Drosophila melanogaster: one gene and its partners. The protein of the gene in region 2 purifies or fractionates together with the protein of the main gene of each other region. This does not show direct contact. Each region holds a gene or a part of one and is shown on either strand. Other genes may lie near its edges.

What was found.
Region 1: the proteins of Lsp2 (region 2) and Tsf1 purify together in Drosophila melanogaster (affinity purification with mass spectrometry, with the first as the bait; one large-scale study listed by BioGRID). This does not show direct contact.
Region 3: the proteins of Lsp2 (region 2) and CG4390 purify together in Drosophila melanogaster (affinity purification with mass spectrometry, with the first as the bait; one large-scale study listed by BioGRID). This does not show direct contact.
Region 4: the proteins of Lsp2 (region 2) and Pglym78 purify together in Drosophila melanogaster (affinity purification with mass spectrometry, with the first as the bait; one large-scale study listed by BioGRID). This does not show direct contact.

The regions. Positions count from the first base shown.
Region 1 is NC_004354.4:18,385,223-18,391,353, reverse strand, and holds Tsf1 (transferrin 1), read right to left. Parts: upstream 4,271-6,131; 5' UTR 3,406-4,270; coding exon 3,306-3,405; intron 3,231-3,305; coding exon 2,988-3,230; intron 2,781-2,987; coding exon 1,685-2,780; intron 1,623-1,684; coding exon 1,238-1,622; intron 1,175-1,237; coding exon 1,073-1,174; 3' UTR 1,010-1,072; downstream 1-1,009. Other genes in the region: Nt5b (5' nucleotidase B), read left to right, coding at 1-356, 422-559.
Region 2 is NT_037436.4:12,127,427-12,132,577, reverse strand, and holds Lsp2 (larval serum protein 2), read right to left. Parts: upstream 3,186-5,151; 5' UTR 3,169-3,185; coding exon 1,063-3,168; 3' UTR 709-1,062; downstream 1-708. Other genes in the region: DEF8 (differentially expressed in FDCP 8 homolog), read right to left, coding at 1-355; CG34241 (uncharacterized protein), read right to left, coding at 4,175-4,393, 4,450-4,479. UniProt on the Drosophila melanogaster protein: Larval storage protein (LSP) which may serve as a store of amino acids for synthesis of adult proteins.
Region 3 is NT_033777.3:20,055,819-20,062,113, forward strand, and holds CG4390 (uncharacterized protein), read right to left. Parts: upstream 3,933-6,295; 5' UTR 3,878-3,932; coding exon 3,749-3,877; intron 3,474-3,748; exon of another isoform or gene 3,235-3,473; coding exon of another isoform or gene 2,994-3,234; intron 2,927-2,993; coding exon of another isoform or gene 2,200-2,926; intron 2,142-2,199; coding exon of another isoform or gene 2,036-2,141; exon of another isoform or gene 1,930-2,035; intron 1,673-1,929; exon of another isoform or gene 1,624-1,672; intron 1,557-1,623; coding exon 693-1,556; 3' UTR 600-692; downstream 1-599. Other genes in the region: mdlc (midlife crisis), read left to right, coding at 2,036-2,141, 2,200-2,926, 2,994-3,234.
Region 4 is NT_033777.3:29,146,185-29,150,607, reverse strand, and holds Pglym78 (phosphoglyceromutase 78), read right to left. Parts: upstream 2,361-4,423; 5' UTR 2,159-2,360; coding exon 2,056-2,158; intron 1,600-2,055; coding exon 1,102-1,599; intron 1,040-1,101; coding exon 873-1,039; 3' UTR 707-872; downstream 1-706. Other genes in the region: eIF2D (eukaryotic translation initiation factor 2D), read left to right, coding at 1-668; CG11882 (uncharacterized protein), read left to right, coding at 2,554-2,657, 2,728-3,415; CG14511 (uncharacterized protein), read left to right, coding at 3,807-4,423.

The DNA of each region.
Region 1 (6,131 bases), on a different chromosome or scaffold from region 2:
GCGATGTGACACACAAGATGGACATGTCCTACGGTATGATGGGCTCACTCTTCCGCTCCGGCTCGCGCCAGACCTTCTTCTCCAGCCAGGTGGTGCGATATGCCGACGTCTATGCGGCCACCCTGCTCAACCTCATTTACTACCCATTCTCGTATATGTTCCGAGCTCCGGCCATGCTTCTGCCCCATGAGTCGACGGTGGCCCATGATCAGGCCCATCAGCCGCCTCCGCCACTGGGCCCTGTTCCTGTTCCGGCTACGGGAGCCGCATCGGTGGCTGCCTCGCCGGATGAGCCGGCTCGCATTTTGGCGGGCACCGCCGAGCACGTTAAGGACCCCAAGGACTTGCATCGCGCAGTAAGTACTTGCCAACTATGATTATAATCTAGACCATTGTTAATCGAATCTTGTTCTTGTTCCAGAGCTCCATTGTGCACACTCGTCCGTCGACGCCCACCGTGGTGACCCACACCCATGACGAGGACTATTCCGAGGAGGAGGAGACACCCAGTGGTGCCGAGTCTTCCACAGAGGCTGTGCGCGATGCCTCCGAAGACTAGATGATGCCACAGCCGCCCTTCTGGAATGGAATGTTTGGATCAACGAATTTTATTCTCAAACTTCCCCAATGCCCCCATTAGCCTTGCAAACCCTTACCCGAAATCCACACCGTGGTCGAAGCAATTATGAAACGTACGATTTTCCCTGGCGATTTTACCCAAGCACAGATATGTGAAACTATATACCATAACCGATATATATATATATACATTATACATTATAAATTAGCTGGTTCCATACATATAATGTGTCTTTTTTTTTTAAAAATGAAAACCATAAATTGCTGTAATTGAATGAGAACAATTCGTTTTGAATAATTCATGAGTGGTGTGAAAAGCCAATTGGCTGGGAAACTTTGTAGCATTGTATTTGGTAACTAGTTAGCCATATTTAATAGGTCTAAACTTTTTTTTTCGATTTTCCCTTAAGTAGGCATTAAGACGTGATATCTGTTTATATTCGAATTAAATTTTATTGATGCAGATAGTGGGATCTAGTAGTATAAAATGTGATCACTGCTTGGCAATCTTGTTAGCATTGCACTGGAGATCTGTGTAGATCTGCTCGTTCTGGATTTCGTTTTTGAGCTCCGTGGTGAGCTGAACGGCTTTGTCCTGCAGAGAAAGTTGTTTTCTTTTTAAACGCCGAAGCTTAAATAAGGAAAGAGGATAACTTACGTTGAAATACACATTCTTCTTGCCCTTCTGGAATTCGCCGAACAGAGCGAAAACATCCACCAGCTTGCCGCGGGCACCAAACTTGTCCGAGATCAGCGAGAACAGATGCTTCACTGTCTCCTGCTCCACGCTGGTGGTGTCCGATCGGATGAAGATGGCACGGGGCAGCTGTACGTCCACGTTGCAGTCACGGAAGTCGGTGACCGGTCGCCGCTCCAGACTGGGGCACACCAGCTGCGCGTCCTTGTGCTTCTCCAGCTCGGAGGCGGGCACGATCTGCACCTCTCCATCGTCGCTGGATGAGACACGACAAGCGTCCAGGCCACGTCGCTTGTTCAACAAGGCGGCAGCAGCACGGGATCGTTCGCAATTCTCATTGAATTTGCTGCGGAATATTGATAGTATATGTAGCTAATGTGCTACGGATGATCGAGGGATTCCACTTACATGCTGGCCTTCTGGAGAGCCTCCCGTGTAACGCCGGGTGCTGCGACCGCCACAAGGACATCATCCTGAGCCCTCTGCTCGTAGACGATTGGCTGCAGCTGGTTGCTACGGGCATCCGCGTAGCCAGTTGCGCGAACAATGGTCAAATCCGCCTCCTTCTTGGTCAGAGCCACCACACAATCGGTGGACTGAACGCACTCGAGTTCCGGACGAGCGTCGCGGGCGTAGGCAGCCTGGTGCAGCGCCTGGCATTTGGCGAACTCGTCGTCGTTCTGGGCGCACAAGCGGATCTTCCTGATGGCACTGCCATCACGCTCGATCACATCCTTGTAGCCGGCACGCTCCAAATAGACCTTGGGATCGATGGCAGCATCCTTGCTGTGGTACACGGCATTCGGCTGGATGAGCAGATGGGCGGCGGCGTCCTTGTTCTGCGCCTGCAGTCCATTGGCGAAGAAGCGCTCCAGACGCGACTGCAATTGGTGCAGCTGCTCCGAGTTGTGAACGGCCTGCTCGTTGGAGATGTAGCCGCTCCAGGGGCGCTGGGCCCAGGAGCAGGCGGGTCCGGTGACCGGGCGCCGGGTGCCATCCTCGCACAGATATTCGAAATTCTCCGGATTGCCCTCCGCTGGCGGCGCATCTGGGCCGGCACCCGGCAGACCAAAGTACTTTTTGATGTACTGCACCTTGGAGAAGGCCACCTCGCCCTGACCCTTGTCCAGGCAGCGTATGGCGCCATCATAGCCACTGAACTTGTCCGGATAGTTGCACTGCTCCGGCTTCTCGCACAGAGCGCACAGATTGGCGTACTTCTTCTTCAGCAGGCGATCCGTTTCCGGATGCGTGGAGTAGGTGCCCACCAGGCACGACTGCGTGAAGAACTCGGACAGCGACTTCAGTTCGCGCTCCGTAGCGGAGATCTGCGGATCGGCGGACACCTTCAGGACGTGCGTGTTCTTCAGCTTGGTGATGGGGATCTTGTAGCCGACGTTGCGGCCGAAGCCAGTGTGGCAGGACTTGGCGCCACGCAGCTGCTGCAGGGTGCGAATGGGGGAGTCCTTCTTCACCAGGATAATGCCCTCGTAACGGAAGGCGGCTGTCGAGAAATGAAACCAGTAGGAGATTTATGAGTAAAAAAAAAGGGAACTAGTAACTATTTTGGTCCTTCGAGCCTTTTGCTTCGAATCGCAAATTAACAACAAAGGGCCATTAGTCATTAGTCAGTACTATACATTTTAAATACCCTTTAATTTCATTCGAAAGCATTTCGCATTTTGCTCCCACGAGCATTTGCACCACTTACCATCCTTGTCCTGCTGCGTTCGGATCTCAGAGATCACGCGATAGTCCTCGTTCTTGCGATGATAGGCGATGTACATGTCCTCCGGCTCGGTGGCCAGCACATCGGCCTTGCGCTGCTCGATCAGCTCCAGGCAGTCCACTCGATCCCGTCCAGCCACGCACTCCATGCGGATGCCCGCCTCCGAGGGATCGGCCAGCAGCTGCTGGCACTCGGCCAAATAGATTTGCGGCACACACAGGCGATCTGCCGTTTTGGGTTCGTATGAAATGGATTCAACTGGTTAGATGCATTCAACTAGTGACTCCGGGATGCACATACAAATGGGTTCCTCCGCCAGGGAGGACTGCGGTCCAAGGATCAGCAGGAGGGCGGCCACCGCCAGTGGCAGCCAGGTGTGGGTCTTATGCGGCGACATCATCTGAGAAACAGTTGAAGCTCGACTGTGGAGAATCCGGAGCCGGCTGGTGGCTTTTATAGCCACCCAGATGTGCTGCTTCTTTCCCCGGCTTTCGTGCTCTTTTTTTTTGCACTCGTATTTGTTCTCTTTCGCTTCTATTTGCCCGGCGACAAGGAGGCACAATAATACCAATACCAATACCAATAATAATAGTAATAATAATAATAATAGCAATCATAACAATAAAGAAAGAAAGACAGTCCAGGCGACCGGTTTTTCCCCGAGGAAAGGCGTGAGTGGGCGGCAATCCAGGCCTATATACTCCGGCAAACGAGTTTGCGACACTGATATATGGCTATGCCATTAAATGCGATTTTCGCAAATCAATTAGTATGCTACTCAATCCATGATCTACCTTAAGTTCGACTTTTTGCTTGTCTTCGAGACAATATATAGTATATATAATCGACAATATAATCGATCAAAATCAGAATTTAGCCTGCAGCATTTGTGTGTTTGGTAATTAGTTTTGGATCTTGGCAATAATCAAACAATGAGCCATTGAGCCATTGATTCATTGAGCCAGCGCTTTCTCTTGACAGAATTTATTTAGGCACACACACTAATTTCTTAAGCACATTCTTTACGAACATTTAAGCTGGAAAAATTGCAGTGAATAGGTTTTAAAAATAGCCTATTTAACTATTTGATTGCGATTGTCAAAAAGCGTAGTTGCTGACATACAGCTAAAATCGAGATAGAAACGGCCTGGCTGCTCTTCACTTAATTGTCTTGGCACTTGATCCCCTAATCGATCGAGCCATATACTATATACCTGAATAATTTGATGCCACCGCACCGACTGGCACTTGGTTATTTGTGCCTATTGAGTTATATAAATGCACTGGTGCCTTCAATTTCTAAGAACTCACTACCCTGCCAAATAAACGGGCAAAATCTTCTCTAGTCGCTTGTAGTTGCAGCAACCGGTTGAGTCACCACGGTGGGAGCGACGAGGAGCCAGCCACCACCCCATCCCCATCCATTCCCAATCCATGGATGTTAATCATGCGAGCCCTTAGTCCCAGGGGCATACGTACTTTAGTCACTTATTTTAGTTCTGTTTTTGCCAGCCCATTTTTCATCATTCATTTGCATTTGCATTCATCTAATGATTCGGCTACTTTAAATTCACTCTTCTTGGAAGTAAACAAATTAAGAGTAATTGCCTTTTATTTATACACTCCGAGGGGATATTTTTTGAATTTTTAATTGGACGCATAACTACGATCTTGAGATGGCCAATTTGAAAAGTGCAAGTATTTATTATGATAATTTAAATGATTGCACTGCGTTTAGATAATTTGCAAGCAAAATCTAGATTTATATGTTATGCGAAATTGTTTTATATTCCTAAAAATGCAGGGGATAAACTTCGAGTGGATAAACTTGGAGCTCATTTAAGCTTCTGCAAAAAGTGAGAGTATGCGCTATTCGCATATCACTCACATTCGCTTTCGCACTCGTCTCTAGTTTTATATACTTCAATTTCGCCCCGCTATCAGGGCATTTGTTTATTCAGGCCGGGCACAGAACCTGTTCCACGATGGGATCAGATCACCTAGCTAGTCACCCGCACCGGCTCGTTGCAGTAAGAGCAACGAAGAGGAGCTGTGGAGAACTGTCCACATCCAGCAGAGAATTGACGAACTGCTTAAAATGCAGGCCGTGCCTCCTCCTTTGAGGGAGGGGGCGTGGCTGGGCAATGAGTCGCGGGGGCGGCAATTGAATGATGAAGTGCAAAACGAGATCACAATGGCAAATGCCGTGGGACTTGGGACGTGGGCGTGGGCGGGGATCTTTCTAGTGGAATCGAAACCAGAAACCGAATTAGATTGCTTGGCAGTGCCGCAGATGCAAACACACACACTTCGCACTGGGCAAGGTCAAGAGCCCCGGAGCGGTCGGGAATTTACCCGGATCGCAATGGGTTGGGGATTTTTCCGAGTAGTCCGAGGTGGCCTCTTATCAGCAGTCCTCTGGCACGGAGGCTATCTGCAGCCAGGTAATAGAAGGGAGGTAATGGAGCTACGCCCAGCACAAAGTGTGTTTGTCAGCGCAAAAGCTTCGTTGCATTATTTAACCGCACGGAAAAGGCATTCATCAGGGAAATTGTATGCGATAAAAATGAAGCACTGCTACTCACTTATTTTAAGTACAAATTGCAAATCGAATGGCATTTTTGAAACAGTGATACTTACTATTTTAAATAAAAGTATATAACAAAATAATATTTTGTTAAATGTGTTATATATGAAATGAAAAATTCATTAGCTTTAACTTAATGTAGAATAATTTGTTTATAACACTTTTCATTTTTTACATTTTTGGCATGCATTTACATAGTTACATAGCATTTCAAACTGCAGTTATGGCGCGAAAAAGACACTGTAACTTAACAGCACTCGCTCTGTAGATGCAAGCACTGCAATGCAAGTAAATTTCCAGCTATACATTTGTGGAGCTTAAGTGCATCTGCTTTTTGTACATTCTAATGTTAAACTTGTTGAACTAAAAAATGATAAGAATGATAAATAACAATCAAATAACAAAACGTTTGAAAAGCGCGCCAAGTGCGCTCAACAGCCCGCTGTTAGCCGAAGCGGTTGCTGGCCGGCGGTGTGCGTCCCCGCTAGAGCACTGCGCAGCCCTGGCAGCACTCGCGTGGCATTTCCGCACGGCGCCGC
Region 2 (5,151 bases):
GGTGCCGCACCAACCAGCGACGCTCCTCGCTGAGTTCCTCGCTCAGCAGGACGAGATCTCTGCAATGGGCGATGGCCGCCTGCAAATCCTGGATATTGGCATCGCTGGTGAAGATTAGGCGCCATTGCTCGCGCACCAAGGACGCGGGAATGGGCAACGCCCTGTACTCCGCACCTTGTGGACCACTTTCCTCGGAGCCTCCGGCCTCGGATCCAGATCCAGTGGAGCCAGAGCCTCCAAGGCCAACTGTTGATCCCAGCGTGGATGAGGCGTGTAACAGGTTGCTGGCGCTCTCGTTAATCAACTGCGCCACCGTGCCCGGAATGCTCGTGAGACTGTCCTTCCAGGAGCTCATTTTTGGGGAAGAACAACAAAACAAGTCTTTGTGTGTTTTTTTAGCGACCAGGGATGCGAGCAATTGGTGCAGATGAGCGAACTAGTTATCGTTCACGGGGCAAACTGCAGGTGGTTGTACGCATCCCTGGAATGCACCTTAATACAGTGAAAGAAAAAATGTGAGGGTTAATTATTTATAAATATTTTGAATTTAACTTTTAATATTTTTAAAATATGATACAATTTGAAACCATATTCTGAAATATGTCAAGCGTGGTTTGCATAAAGCAAATATTTTTGTTACCATATTTTACCATTTAATATTAAATTGTAATTTAAGAAATCTAACAATCTATTGTGTTTATTCCAGATAAAAATGCCTATTTTTAACTTGAAAATTCGTCTGCTAAAAACTGTAGGCTTTAAAACTAGTATCAATAAGCCCTTTATTCTATTGTTCCTTCTATTTACATATATTCTGTAAGTAGAGGAAAATAACTAGAAAACCAAAAATATATTTTGAAAAATTGAAAAGAGAGTGACTTGTGTTGAATACGTTTATTGTTCGATGGTCACAAGGTGGACTGACAAGCTGGGTAAAAATTGAGTTAAATTACGATCTCTATGGGGTAAGTGGATGCAGACAAAGATATAACAAGGAAAACATATGTAATCTATCCAATATCGTTGGTTCGTTTTGGGGTTCGTATTCGTTGGGTCCAGGATCTAGACCACATTGGTGTGCTCGTCGCGATGGAAGATCTTCACGTCGACGAACTTGAAGTTGTGGACATCGAAGTAGTAGTCATGCTTCACCGGCCTGTTGAAGGGGAAACCGAAGGGCAGGGCGTCCACGTAGCGGGAACCGTGTCCCACGCCGCAGCTGACCACCGGATCGTAGCCAGTGAACTGGGCAACCTCGGGCTGGTGGTACGGGTAGACCATGTAGAAGAACTGGAACACCTGGCCGCCCTTCTTGCCGCGCGGCAGCATCATTCGGTTGGGCACGCCGCAATGGGCCTCCGACTGATCCAGCTTGAACTTGTAGTCACTGTTGGTGGCGTCCATCAGCTTCTGGTAGAGCTCCAGGTAGGTGGTGCGATCGTTCACCCAGAAGGAGAAGTCACCGCTGGCGCGCTTGATGTGGTTAACGCCCGCCTCCAGATGCACCTTGAAGTGCTCCAGCTCGAAGAAGTTCTGGTAGTTGTGCTCCAGTGGGATCTCGTGTCCGTGCTCATCGTACTTGGGTCCAATGAAGACCTTCACAACGGCATCCTGAGCCTTGTCCGAGGTCACGTCCAGGGTGAACTCGAAGGGCTTGTGGTTGAGACGCTGCTGGCGGGCCTTGATCACATAGCTGGATCCCTTGTAGTGGGAGTTCCTGCCGAAGGTGTACAACGGATCGGCGGATCCCTCAACGGCGGGCTCCACATTGACGGCATTGCTGATGTCCGAGTCGAAGTGCTCGAAGTAGGTGGTCAGACTTTCGGGCATGTGGACGGCATCGATGTGGACACCCTCGAAGGCGTAATCCTTCTTGTGGTACTCCGGATAGGTCTCCATCAGATGCCAGTAGTGGCTGACAATGGTCTTGTATACCTCGTAGAAGATCGGATCGCGCATAGAGGTGTCGTAGTGCATGAAAAGGCCAGGGAAGCTCTCGTCACCATGGCCATAATGGTGGCCCTCGTTCACAATGAAGCGGTACAGCTTGTCAAGACTGCCGTAGAACTTCTTGTCCACGCTGTCCGCATTGCCCTGGATGATGTTGCCCAGCACATTGATGGTCTCCACATCGAACTTCTCGTTCTTGTGGATCCAGTCCATGACACGCTGCGTGTACATCTCCACATGCTCGATGTGCTCGTAGTTGTGCTCGTGGTAGAAGCTGTGGTGATTCTCCCGGTGCCATTGGGGTACGCCGTAGTAGGTGCGCAGGTTACTGGCATAGCCGGATTCGGTTGGCACATACATGTTGAAAGCGGGCACCTCGCCGAGATCGTGGGACAGACGCTCCAGGTACCAACGGGCCAGCAATTGCCAGTGGACATACAGGTAGAGCTCACCGCGACGATCCTTGTTAAGGACATGCTCCTCGCCGCCCTTCGTCCAGAACGGATAGTCCAGATTGAAGTAGTAGTAGAAGGCATTGAAGCCAACATCCTCCAGGTAGTAGGCCAAATCGTGATCGTAGTTCAGGGAACCGTGCACGTTCGAATAGTTCGTACGGATCACCACGTTGTAGATGTTGTCCATCTGCTTGACATGATGGAAGCCGTGCATTTTGTAGTGCTCAGCCCATTCCAGTGCCTGGCTATCGAAGTAGCTCCATGGGTGGATCTCGTAGTGGGCCGGCAGGACGACTCCCTGCATATCATCACGGAACAAACTGGCAATGGTCACGGCGTACACGAACAACTGCTTGTTTACGTGCTGGCGGGCCCAGTAGACGACGTGCTGGAAGGTCTCCCAGTTCTTGGCGAAGTAGAAGAGACGCACCAGACCCACCACATACTCCTCGTGCTTGTCGTACATCACCGACCACACCATGTCATCGGTGAAGGGTTGGTGTTGCCACAGCTCGAAGAAGTGCTCCAACATCTCCGGGTGCACATAGTCGGCCACGTGCTCCCACGGCTTGTACTCCACGTAGCTGCCCCCGAAGGGCGTGGTGAACACATCGTCCTGGTAGATGTGCTGCAGGATCTGGTACATGAACTTCTGTTTCATCAGAAAGTCCTTGTCCGCCACCTTGGAGTCCAGGTGCTTGGCCTGGCCGAGAGTAGCCAGCAATGCCACTGCAGCTAACGCAATCACCGTGAACGACTTCATCTTCTCGAGTCGATTCGAATCGTAACGCTGCAATGATCGGTAGCCAGTATTTATACCCCCGGATCGGCGATACGCAGATTGCAATCCGGCCAATGACCGGTCGCATCCGTAGCCTTGATCCGCGCCATCGCCGGATCTGAACGACCCGCGAAGCTCTCAATCTTAGCGCCCATGCTGCATCCATAATTGCAGGTGATAAGACCGACGATTAGGCGGCCATACCAAGATCAATCCTACATCATTATCTAAATTCAAGAGTGAGCCACTAGAAACTGGTGGTTAGGTGAAGCAGCTGGAAGATCCAGTTAAGATTTCCTCGCTCCAGAGACACCTTCTCCAGCTGTCTAAATAGGAGAGTCTAAAAAAAAGAATGCCCAAAATATCACGATTACATTGATACTATTTATAAGCAAACCCACTTGCATTGTCAACTTAAAAAGTTCATACCACAGCACATTAAAAACGTGAATTGGTACACCTATTTTGTCGCCGTGTAATGACTTTCATTTTTCCCCATTTTTCCATTTCAAACTGATGATCGTGCTTTTTTCACACATATCAACAACAGGTGTTTGACGGGCCCCCTTGATTAACCTATTTCAAATAGTGATTAAGATTACATGGCCACCTGATCTCCTGTCAATTGAGGTGTTACCAGGCGGCTTCCTTGATAAGTTTGCTTTGTTCGCCGCATCGATTCTTTATCAATGCTAAAAATATTCCGAATTGCAAAACACGGAGCATCATGTTGCTGCGACAACAAATCCCGGACAACAAAGAACAATGGACCATCGAATGATCCGCAGGTCAATGGAGAACATATCAATCAATCAGACCCATTTCAGTCCTCGGTTTTTATACTGCTATTAAATGTCCTTCAAAATAAAAATATATATGATTACAGGATAGGAAATTATGACGTTCTATGCAAATGCATATGATCTCATTAGTATATCTATACGTACATATCTTTATTTTAGTTTACACAGAATCTACAAAATTTATTTTACGAAAAGTAACCATTGCGTAGATAAACACTATCCAAATTATTTGGCGGCTGGATTCGTGGAAGTCTTCGTACGGCCTCCCGATTCTCGTCGGGAGTCACGTTGAGCATCTGCCCCGGATGTTCCGCTCGTTGGTTTTGGCAGGAGACTCTCGGTTCCGGGGATCTGTAGAACTCCGTGTTCCTTCGGCGCGGATACATCTCACAGGTGGTCAGGATCTACAGAAAAGCACGGAGATAAATTTGAAAGACCAAAAGAGAAATGAAATACTTACGGGCTGATTTGAAGACGTACCCCTATCCATGGTTAAAAAACTTTTATATTCGAAATAAACAAATTTTGAAAATTTAGAAATTTTTCAATGATTTTGTCCGGTTACTCGAAAGATATGAAAAGAAACCTAACCGAAACGGGTGAAAATAGTTTATGAAAACCCGAAACCATAATCATGGCATACTTTTTTTTAGATTTGCGTTTCAAGTTTTGAAATTGGTATTGGTATATCTTGAAATATATATTTTTATATTATTCAGACTTCGAGAACATATGAGTCTCGTCTATTCAAGGTGATCACATTGCTGCGTCATTCGCAAAGTCTTCAAAATATGATTCATCCGATTTAGAATAAACAACACCTTATCATTAGAAGTATACATTAATGCAAAATGTTGTTCAAATGTTTAGTTGCTAATCAAAAGAAAATGATTTCTTTTATAAATGCATAATCTTATTGCTTTTTAGAAACTCAAATAAAAAAAAACCCATTTTATTGCAAACCTTCCGTTTACTTTCATTCATTTTCTGTAATGTCCTTTTATTCCTTTTATAATTATTTTGTAGAAATCAAGTTTTGATAACTTTTTTCAAGTTACCCCAAAAATATTAGCCAACTAATGAACTGCTCACGCATCGCTTTTCCTAATTGGGAATTACGGCTCCCATGGGAAATCCTCTACAGGTGTTGTGTTCACCCAAA
Region 3 (6,295 bases), on a different chromosome or scaffold from region 2:
CGCCTTTTCAAATCCCTTTTTTTGGTACCCGATTTTCCGACCCGTTGGTATATAAAACACAAAAGCGCGCGAAGTTACACAAACAAAGGGGGGTCCAAAAAACAGGACTATCTCGCGCACACACGCAGTCACGCAAATACAGAGCTGGCGACTCCGATTGGTCCTAGTAAATATGGCGCCAAACGAGTCGAGAATGTCGCCTTTTGGTACCTCCGTTCGGTTCGGTTCCCTCTGTCACTAGCACATCTATTCCATCAGACGGCGTTTTTTCTACTGATGAATGAATCGTACGCAGGATGCCAGGATGCGGAAAGTTTCCAGCATGCCGTGGACCAACAACCGGAAAGCTTTTACTACGTTGCGAGCTTTTACCCTTACCACAAGTCCGGGAAAAAGTCCTTAGGAATTCGACGAATGCTGAATACCCATTACTTAAGTTTTTGTTTGTGAAAGGAAATTGCTGAACTTAAAACCGAAATAACAAAGTACACGCCATTTGTGTATAATCTTCTGTACATTGGCACCTAGAATGAATAAAAATATTTGTTTTTCAAAGTCCAAGTTCAAAGTTTAAAGTCAAGAATGTAAGAATACATTTTAGAAGCTCAGTCGAAATTGGTTTATTTACTGCCAAATTTACGTTGAATTATGGTTTCGGTGGAAACCAACGATTATGTACAAGCGGAATATCATCAAGCGGAAGCTGTGAGCAGGGCGGCATGGTAGGCGATGTGTTCGGCGACGAACGTGGCGATGTAGAAGTAGCTGTGATCGTATCCCTCGCGCTGCTTGAAGATGGTCTGGATGTGATCATTGCCATCTGCGGCAGCCAGCAGGTTCTCCGGCAGCAGCTGCTTGCCGGCCAGGAAGTTGTCTGCTGCACCTTGGTCGATGAAGAGCTCCTGCGGAGTGCTCTCGTACTGCGACACCAGATGCGTGGCATCCCACAGGGCCCAGTCATCCGGATTGGAGCCCAGATAGCCGGCAAAGGCCTTCTTGCCCCACGGGCACTCGGTGGGATTGGCAATCGGCGCAAAAGCGGACACCGACTGGTACAGCCCGGGATTCTTAAGCGCGCAGATCAGGGCTCCGTGGCCGCCCATACTGTGGCCGAATATACCGCGTTTACCGGGAACCACGGGCAGATTGGCATTGACCACATCCACCAGCTCCTGGGTCACATAGCTGTACATCTTGTAGTGCTTCGACCACGGCTCCTCCTTTGCATCCACATAGAATCCAGCCCCGCTTCCAAAGTCGTATGCATCATCTTGGCCGGCAATTTCCACGCCCCTGGGCGAAGTGTCCGGATTGACGACGATCAGGTTGTGGCGGGCGGCGTGCTGCTGGAATCCGCTCTTCTGGATGAAGTTCTCATGCGTGCAGGTCAGTCCGCTGAGGAAGAACAGCACCGGACACGGTTTACCCTCCAAAGCGGCCGGCGGCAGGAAGACGCCAAAGGTCATGTCGCACTTCAAGGTGTCCGAGCGATGGCGATACACGCGTTGCTCGCCCTCGAAGCACTTATTTGCGGACAGCTGTTCGAGCGTCATGTTCTGGGGGTGAAACGGAGTAAATAATTTGTAAGCTAAAACTGAAATCCATTAATTTTTAAAAACGCACTTGTTTTTTGACGATCTAAAAATAACAAGCGATAAGAAAACAGTGTGACCGCGTGTAGAGCGCCAAAAGTGGGAAGCTTTCAGAACATCTTGGTATCGATGATTAAAAGGGTAGATCCCATAGGAGTTAATATTTTCTAGAATTCTTTAAATTAATATAAATCTATTAATTATTACATATTGATGATGTATTAAATATGTAAAAATTGCAATTATTACAAACGAATATATTCCTCATAAGTAAACATTGAATTTTAATGTGCCCGTTTCATACAAAAATACTAACTCCATAACGATTGTTACGCAAGTACCATCACTAGCCGGGAAGAAGAAGCGCCAGTTGGCGAAATTGCTATTGTTAATTGTTGTTAACGTGAATTACTAGATAAGTACATAAATTTAAAAGCCGGAGAATGTCGGAAGAAGCGGCTAGCACCTCGTCCTTTGGCTTCAAGAAGCGGAACCTCAAGAAGGGAGCTGGAATTCGTCGCAAAAAGGAAACCAGCAGTGATGAATCTGGTAGGAACTTAATTTTACCGCCAACAAAGTAAATGGGCAAATATTATTGATATTCCAGCAAAAAGCAGCGATGAAGAGACCAAAGGCAAAGCCAGTGCTCTGGTGCGAGCCGAGAACCGCCGAAAGCGCACGAATCCCAACTTCCAGAGCACCAAGACAATGAGCAAAGCAAAGAGACAGGCGGGAGGAGTTGGTGATGATGGCTCATCCTCAGCCTCCGACGATGATAAACTGGGCATTGCGTACAAATCCAAACGCGAGGCGCTGCCCAGTGGACCCCAAGATCAGGGAGCTACATCGATTAACGAAATGGACACAGAATTGGATCGCGATGCGCAGGCAATTCATGCGCGAGCTCTGAAAATCAACGAAGAGCTGGAGGGCAAGGCGGACGATAAGATCTATCGCGGAATTAACAACTATGCGCAGTACTACAAGAAGCAGGATACAGCGGCAGGGAATGCCAGCTCCGGAATGGTACGAAGTGGCCCAATTAGGGCTCCTGCCCATCTTAGGGCCACTGTCAGGTGGGATTATCAGCCGGATATATGCAAGGATTACAAGGAAACAGGATATTGCGGCTTTGGCGACAGCTGTAAGTTTCTGCACGATCGCAGTGATTACAAAGCGGGCTGGCAATTGGAAATGGATCACGAAAATCAGCGAACGGGTGATGTAGACTCCGATGGCGATGATACCAAGTATGAGATTCACTCCGATGAAGAAACACTGCCTTTCAAGTGCCACATCTGCCGACAGAGTTTTGTCAATCCCGTGGTAACAAAGTATGAAGATGATAACGATTTCTAAACTGGATTTACTGAATAAATAACATATTTATCTTTCTTCCAGGTGCAAGCACTATTTCTGTGAAAAGTGCGCCTTGGCCCAGTACAAAAAGTCACAGCGCTGCATCATCTGTTCCCAGCAAACAAATGGTATTTTCAATCCCGCCAAAGAGCTGATAGCTCGCCTCAAGACAAACCCAATGGAAAACTCAGATAGTGATGAGGAGGAGGAATTTGGGAAAAAGGAGGATAAAGCGGAAGCAGGGGAGGAAGCTCAGGAGATTTCTTCGGATGATAGTGATTAAAATATTTTTTTAAATCATTTATACAGGTTGTGAAAGTAAATAGGGACATTGATTAGATGCTTCACATAAAATCCATTTTACAGCACATTTGCCGCATAAGTGTAGAAAGTAAAGTAAGGATTGTACCACCGATAGGTGGCGTGTAAGAAATTGTAAAACCCTTTGCCCCAAAGAGAATTGCTGATAAATCACTATTCTTACTTGTAACTAGAAAAATATATTTTGATAAGTTTTCAACCAAGAAATACTAGTTCTGTGGTATTTATTAAAATTTTTACTTATTTTTGGGCGATCTATTACGATTGGTTAACATACAAATTATGCACAGCAGTTCATCTGTAAGTTGTTTTAACACGTATATATGTATGTATTCATTATTATTTATAATTCATACTAAAATTTGATACATAGGGACGGGACTGGAAAGTTAATCGTGAAAAGCATTTTATAAAATTAATCACAACGAGGATTTTATATTAATGTTTAGTCCGCAGGACCTAAAAGCCTTACTCACCTCGGTCATAATGTGGCCAAAACTGAGCACAATGCTCCGTCGCTTGGGAAGATTTGAACAGGCGACTATGGAATATACGAATGAGCTTCTACCACTCACACTGGGCAGACGAAGGAAATTTCTTCCCATTCCCAAGGGAGCTGCAATAACTTTGTGATTTCGATCGAGTATTGCTTGACGTTTGAAACGATCAAAGGCCAACTTTGACCAAATTTAAACTTGGCAAGCAACTGAAACTACTGCCTTCTTGAAGCGGCAAAATTTTGGCCCAATCTTATAGCCATAATTTAATTGTCAGCACTTTCATTTCCCGTTTCGCTCGCATCAGAAAGCACAGGCACAGAAAGTAGGGGAATTGGAAGCTGGGAAACGTAGTAAAGCGGGCCAAACTTATACGGAAGTGAATTCGTTTGACTTTTGCCCGCTAAAATCAAAACCTCCTGCCAAACTTCTAGGCCGCATTGTTTCACAGCACAAAGCCGAAATATTGGCCAGTGGTAACGAATCGATGCTTAGCCACAAATTCCAAAATCCATCCGGCTTCTCTGCCCACCCTTTTTCCCTAGCTCCGAGCATGCAAAATATGAGCACATAAGCCTTTAAAAGCAGCCCAGCTGCCCAGGATGAGCAAAAAGGATAAAACTTCTATTTTCCAGGATCCTAGCTGCCACAATGTCGAGCCGATTTTATTGGAGGGGTTTATGCAGAAGGTTTGCCTGTTCCTCTGGTTACGCATAATACTTTTACCTCGTTTGTATACACCATTCACATTTCTTTAAGACAGCCACTATTCAGATGCTGGTAATTGCTGCAGTAGGGAAATTTGCCTCTGCTGTGGATTTTTCCAAGGATAACAATCATCAAGCTGGCTCACGGCTATTAGGTCACGTTCGCATTTTCTCACATTTTATGTGCCACTCACTTATTGGCAGTGCAATGGTTAATTGAATGACAAAGTCGTGCATGAAGAACGCAACCTAATTGAGGAGGAGGCAATAATTGTTTCGACCTGCAAATCAGTTTTAATTATTTCCATAAATGCGAAAGTGAGCGGCAGACGTGAGCTCTGAAATTTTATACTTTCTGTCAGCGGCTTTGATTGCCAAAGCGCAATAAGTAGGCAGGGGATTTGGGTTGCTTTTCCGGGCAGGATGGGTAGTTTTTCCGCCTAATTAGGATTTAGAAATTTGTGTGCGGTTGCTCACACGATTGCGTCTCGGCCCCAAAGTAATTAGGCGTTAAATGAGTTTGACGCCTCCAGAAATCGGGGAACATGGTTTCGTTCTCGAAACATCATCTTGATGTTGTTTACATTGAGCTTTGTGTGCTCACTAGCAATGATACTAAATTAAATATAAGCCTACTTAAGTTTTTGTACTTTAACATTGCAATTATCTCAGTTATACTTAAATTATATTGCCAGCTGAAAGTTAAGATACATAAGAAGGAATGCTAAAGGACTCTGACTACCATATATCCTCATTCCTGCTTAAAAGAGTCTGAGTAATAGACTGATTAGGGATTTATTTCAAATTATGATAAATATATTCACAATATTATCAAGTCGGAAATGCTACATTCGTCGAATTTCATAATGGGACTAGTACACCCTTTTGAGTAAGAGGTAGAATAGTTTTAAGTCATGCAGTTTAATTCTGACTATAGAAATCATCAATATCAGTTTCCTAGAACTATAGAAGTTATATATATATAGTGACTATAATACCCTAATTTTTGTTATGAAACAAGTTTAATATTCATCTTTTAAGACTTTTATGTAAAATTGTGTGTAATTTTAAGTGTATAGATACATATATCATTTTTTCCTGTGCATATGTACCCAAGGGCCATCTTGTACCCATCTGCACGTTTGTTGGGCTGCACGCTGTTTGTTTTCATTCGCCTTTATTTATTGGCTTCTAATGTCATTGACTATTATATTATCCCAGCGGCTAGATGGGATGGTAAGGGCAGAAGTGTCCCCCTACCCTGGATTTGCTCCCTGGACTCGGGCTCAACTTGTCGCTTATTGTGTCAATTATCATTAATTTCTAAATGCCCTCCTGTCCGCACCAAGGTTGCAGCACCTTTTTGAATGATACAGCTCGTGGAGCGACCTAGCCAGCTCCGAACTTTCAGTACGTGTCCTGGCCATGTTGAAATGTCAGTCCGGGCCATATAAATTGTTATTGCCTGTGCGTTCCATCACCAGGACTCCGAGGACTTGCTGGCCCGGCATTCTTAAAGTTGGCCAAACTTTGCCATGCGTAGTTTACGCTTTGACTCCCAATAATTTATGGCCCATTCACTGTTAAGTTTCGCTCGTTTTCGAGTAGCTATAGGTATGTATCGTATGCTATCGTTAAGGATTAACTTTAGTTTCAAATCGAACAATTAAGAGCGCGCCATAATTACTGTGTAAATGAAGCCCACTGAACTGCAGGCCGTTAATAATACACAACAGCTATATTATGGCACCGCAAAAACCCCAGGCTCATTAATCTTTCACTTAATAGTCCCGAATAATTAAACAGCACAATTGCACAC
Region 4 (4,423 bases), on a different chromosome or scaffold from region 2:
AGCACCCCGAAGTGGTGAACTTTATAACCGATGTCAAGGCAAGCGAAGCTAATGGAGCGGCGTCCGAGACGCCCCTGTTCCACTCCGAGCTGAAGGAGATGTACATAGTGACCGATGTTACGGCGGCCTTCTTCACCAAGCTGAATTACAAGCGCGGCGAGGGAATCCCGGCGGGTCAGATCAAGAAGATTGTGCGGGAGTACGTGAGCAAACATGGTCTCCTCCATCCGCTGACCAAGCTGGTGCGCCCCGACGACACTCTGATCGAGCTGTATGGTAACAGAGAGGTTTCGCTAAGCGAGATGTGCTCCCTCATCACCAGCAAGATGGAGCACTCCTACCAGATGTGCAGCGGCAAAGATACGAGCGGGAAGCCCCTCATCCAGATGTCCCTGGCCACGCGATCGGGCAACAAGAAGGTGACGCTGGTCAGCAACATCGAGGCGTACGGCATCATCCTGGCCGAGTTCATCAAGCTGTGCAAGCAGGGAGCCGCCGCCAGCACCAGTGTGGTGAAACTGCCGCACCAAAAGCACGAGCAGCTGCAAATCCAGGGCAACCAGGTGCGATTTGTGCACACGCTGCTCACGGAAACGTACAAGGTGCCGCCCAAGTGCATCCTGGGCCTGGAATTGGCCAAGGACGGCAAGAAGAATAAGAAGAAGTGAGCCGGACAATAAATGAAGCCTCCTCCGCCTGTCCTCTTGAGTGTAATAATAAATTATTTATTAACTGTAGTGGGGATGAACCAATTACTGCTACGCGAACAACAACAACGAATGGGATTGGCTACATCTTGAACAGAAGCGTAATCAGAATGCTCTGACTTGTGCCGTATTTGAGTGGATTCTCATGAGGTGTGGCCTGCGTGCTTACTTGGCCTTGCCCTGGGCGGCCACAGCCTCGATGGCCTTCTTCACGGTCTCCTCGTCGCCGAGGAACTGCATGGACACCACCGGCTTGAAGTTCTCGTCCAGCTCGTAGACGAACGGAATGCCCGTGGGCAGATTTAGGGCCATGATGGCGTCCTCAGAAAGGTCTGGATTGGACAAGGATATGGTAAAAAGATGATATGATATATGTTATGTCTCCCATGCTCACTGTCTAAATGCTTGACGATGCCACGGAGGCTGTTGCCGTGGGCAGCGATCAGGATGCGCTTGCCCTCCTTCATCTGGGGAATGATGACGTCGTTCCAGTAGGGCAGTGTGCGTTCGATGGTCAGCTTGAGGGACTCGAACTGGGGGAACTCCTCGGGCTTGGGACCCTCGGCGTAGCGGGGATCCTTGACGATGTTCTCGTAGTACGGATGGCCCGGCTCCATCGGTGGTGGCGGGGTGTCGAAGCTGCGACGCCAGATCTGCACCTGGGCCTCGCCGTACTTGGCGGCGGTCTCGGCCTTGTTCAGGCCAGTGAGTCCACCGTAGTGGCGCTCGTTCAGGCGCCAAGTCTTCTGGATGGGGATCTCCTTGTGGCCACTGGCCTTCAGGATGCTGGCCAGCGTCACCTGGGCGCGGGTCAGCACCGAGGTGTGGGCCACATCGAACTCCAGGCCGGCATCCTTGACGGCCTTGCCGGCGGCTAGGGCCTCCTCCTGACCTGTTTGGGCAAATGTTTAGCGAACATTAAGTATACGCCGTGTTGGGTAACGAACGTAAGCCAATTTAATCTAATTGAAAGGCATGCGTTTAATTTAATTTGATTACTAGGGTTAAAAAAAGGCGATAACCTATCAAATTATGCTCATAAGCATAATCTGAACTTTAGAAACATATGAGATGGCAAATTTTTGACTTTAAAGTGTAACAAACTAGAATTTTGATGCTTCTGAAAATTGCACTGGAAAGCTTTTGTTTGTAGAGACCTATTTTTATCACAGAAAAGTTTGAATGAGATAATGTTGCACTAGGTCAATGAAGATTAATTTGGGTAAATGAAAAGGAATACTATTGTGAAACTGATCAAAGCAAAGGATCATCGATTGGAAACTAGATGTACATCAGATTTTTAATCCCACATATGAGGTTTAAATTTCAAATTGATGTAATCACTCACCCTTTTCGCTGAGGTTGGCGTCGTACCAGCCGCAGAACTGATTCTTCTGGTTCCACTCGGACTCGCCGTGGCGCACCATCACGATCTTGTACTTGCCGCCCATTTTAGCTGCGTTGATCACTCTGCGGATAATTGTGTACTCGTTCTTAAGCTGCCGCCTTGCTGCGACTGCAATATGTGGGAATTCTGCTGAAGTTTGACCTACAAGGGAGCCGTCCAAGGTCGCAGCTGTCAGGCCGCGATATTGCCGTTCTGTTGGAAAAACGTAGTGCGCAGATGCGGTGCCTTCTCTGATTGGACTCCGGAGTATGGTCTTATTGGAATAGCGCGTCAAGCTACCTTCAAATGTCCAATTAGTTTGCGCTGTGCAACAGGTTGGCATCCCCCGCGCAGATGTTATCGCTCGCGTTTGTCATCACTATATTCGTGTTTTGGTTTTTAAATTTGGCTGTTTTTAAATTTTGCTCCCATAAATTCCAACTTTTTGTCACTTAAAGCATGTGCGAAAAGGTCACCGCGCGCTGCACTTGGCCCCAGCTGTCGGGCAACGGGCTGGACCAACTGGTGGCCACCCGCTTGTCCGACGAAGACGTCTTTGTGAAGTGAGACAAAGGATTCCACGCCCCGAAACTGGTTTTTATCAAGTAATTTTGAAACCTCCTTTGTCCGCAGGCCCGACTTGGACGACGTGATCGACGAGAATCGCGCCGTGCTGTTTTCCATGCAGTCGGCGGATCCGCCGCCGCCTTGTGAGCTGCGCTTCCAGATCCCGAACCGCTTCAAAATCGCCGCGCTCACCCTGATTTGCAGCGCTCCCAAGGTGGAGCTGTTCATTGGACCCTTGCAGGAGTACTGCGAGACCATCTACGGCACTTGCGTCGACGATGAGGACCCAGAGGTTGCGGTGCGACCCTATCGCTATGACATGGAAATCGACCGATCCGGGATAAATGACATAAACCTGAAGATGCTCACCTCGGCCAGCGAGATCTGCGTTTACGGAGCCCTGCTCCAGGTGGCGCCGAATCCCAACGGCATAACCACCCAGTTGCCCAGGCCAATGGATGCGCAGCGAATCCAAGAGCTGCTGCAAAGGGGTGGCACGAGTCCCTTGAAGAAGGAGGAGCAGGCCGAAAAGTTCGAGCAGTTCATGAGCCTGATGAAGGGCTATTCCCCGCAGGCGAAGGACCAAACCCAAGAGACTGCACCGCCTTCCACCGATGTTGCAATCCTCAAGGAGCACATCGACATGAGATTTGAGAAGCTGACGCTGTTAGTGTCTAAGAGACTGGACAACTTCGAGGCCCAGCAGACGGAAAAGTTAAACAAAATTATTGCCTTGCTGGAAAAGGAAAAATAAGTAATATACCATTAATTTGCTAATCTGTAATTTCTTTCTTAGCATTGTCATCATTGTATTTTGTAATTGTTGTAAAAGACTGTTGGTGCGAATATTTCGAATGTGATTAGGCAACATATTTAAGTTTGGTTTTGAATGTAATGTACATTAAATAAAATATTCTTCTCTTAAAATCATAAATTTTTTCTTTTTCGCTTGGAATATTTGAATTTCAACCACTTTCGATAGACCAACATCAGCTGTGCCCGAACCGAACTTTATCGATAACCACCTGTTGCATTTGTTTACGTTTTGTATGGCCGAAGAGAAAGTAAGTTGGCTTAAAAGCTCGTCATGGCCCAGATCGTAGGTTAAAGTTGGTGGGAATCGTCTACTTTCGTTGCGCGAGTTCATGAATTTATCCATCCGCGCTATTTCGGCCATCTGCGGCGTTTTCTTGGGCTGCTGCAGTGGCGTCGTCTTCTTGGAGCTCCTGGTTAAACTGGATCCCGGCGCTGGAAACCTTATAACTGGCGCCCAGTTTGCATTTATTGCCCTCGAGGGCTTCATCTTCACCTCGAAGTTTGGCCTGGCCCAGAGAGTGATCAGCCTGCGCGACTATGCGCTCCTCGTGGCCATGTTTTTCCTGACCAGCGTATGCAACAACTACGTGTTCAAGTTCAAAGTTCCAATGACACTGCACATGATCATACGCGGCGGTTCGCTGATCTCCAACATGTGCCTGTGCACGTTGATCCTGAAGAGGAGTTACCGGTTGAGTCAGTACATATCGGTGCTCATGATCAGCGTGGGCATTTTCGTCTGCACATATTTCTCCAGTCCGGATTTGGTGGGTAAGATGGAGAATTTGGATAGTGGCGCCGAGGCGGATACGTTCTGGTGGCTGTTGGGCGTGGCACTCTTGGTGCTGGCTCTATTTGTTTCCTCCTACATGGGAATTACACAGGAGTTGCTGTATCGACGTCATGGCAAGTGCGCCAGGGAAGCGTTGTATTACACCCACCTGTT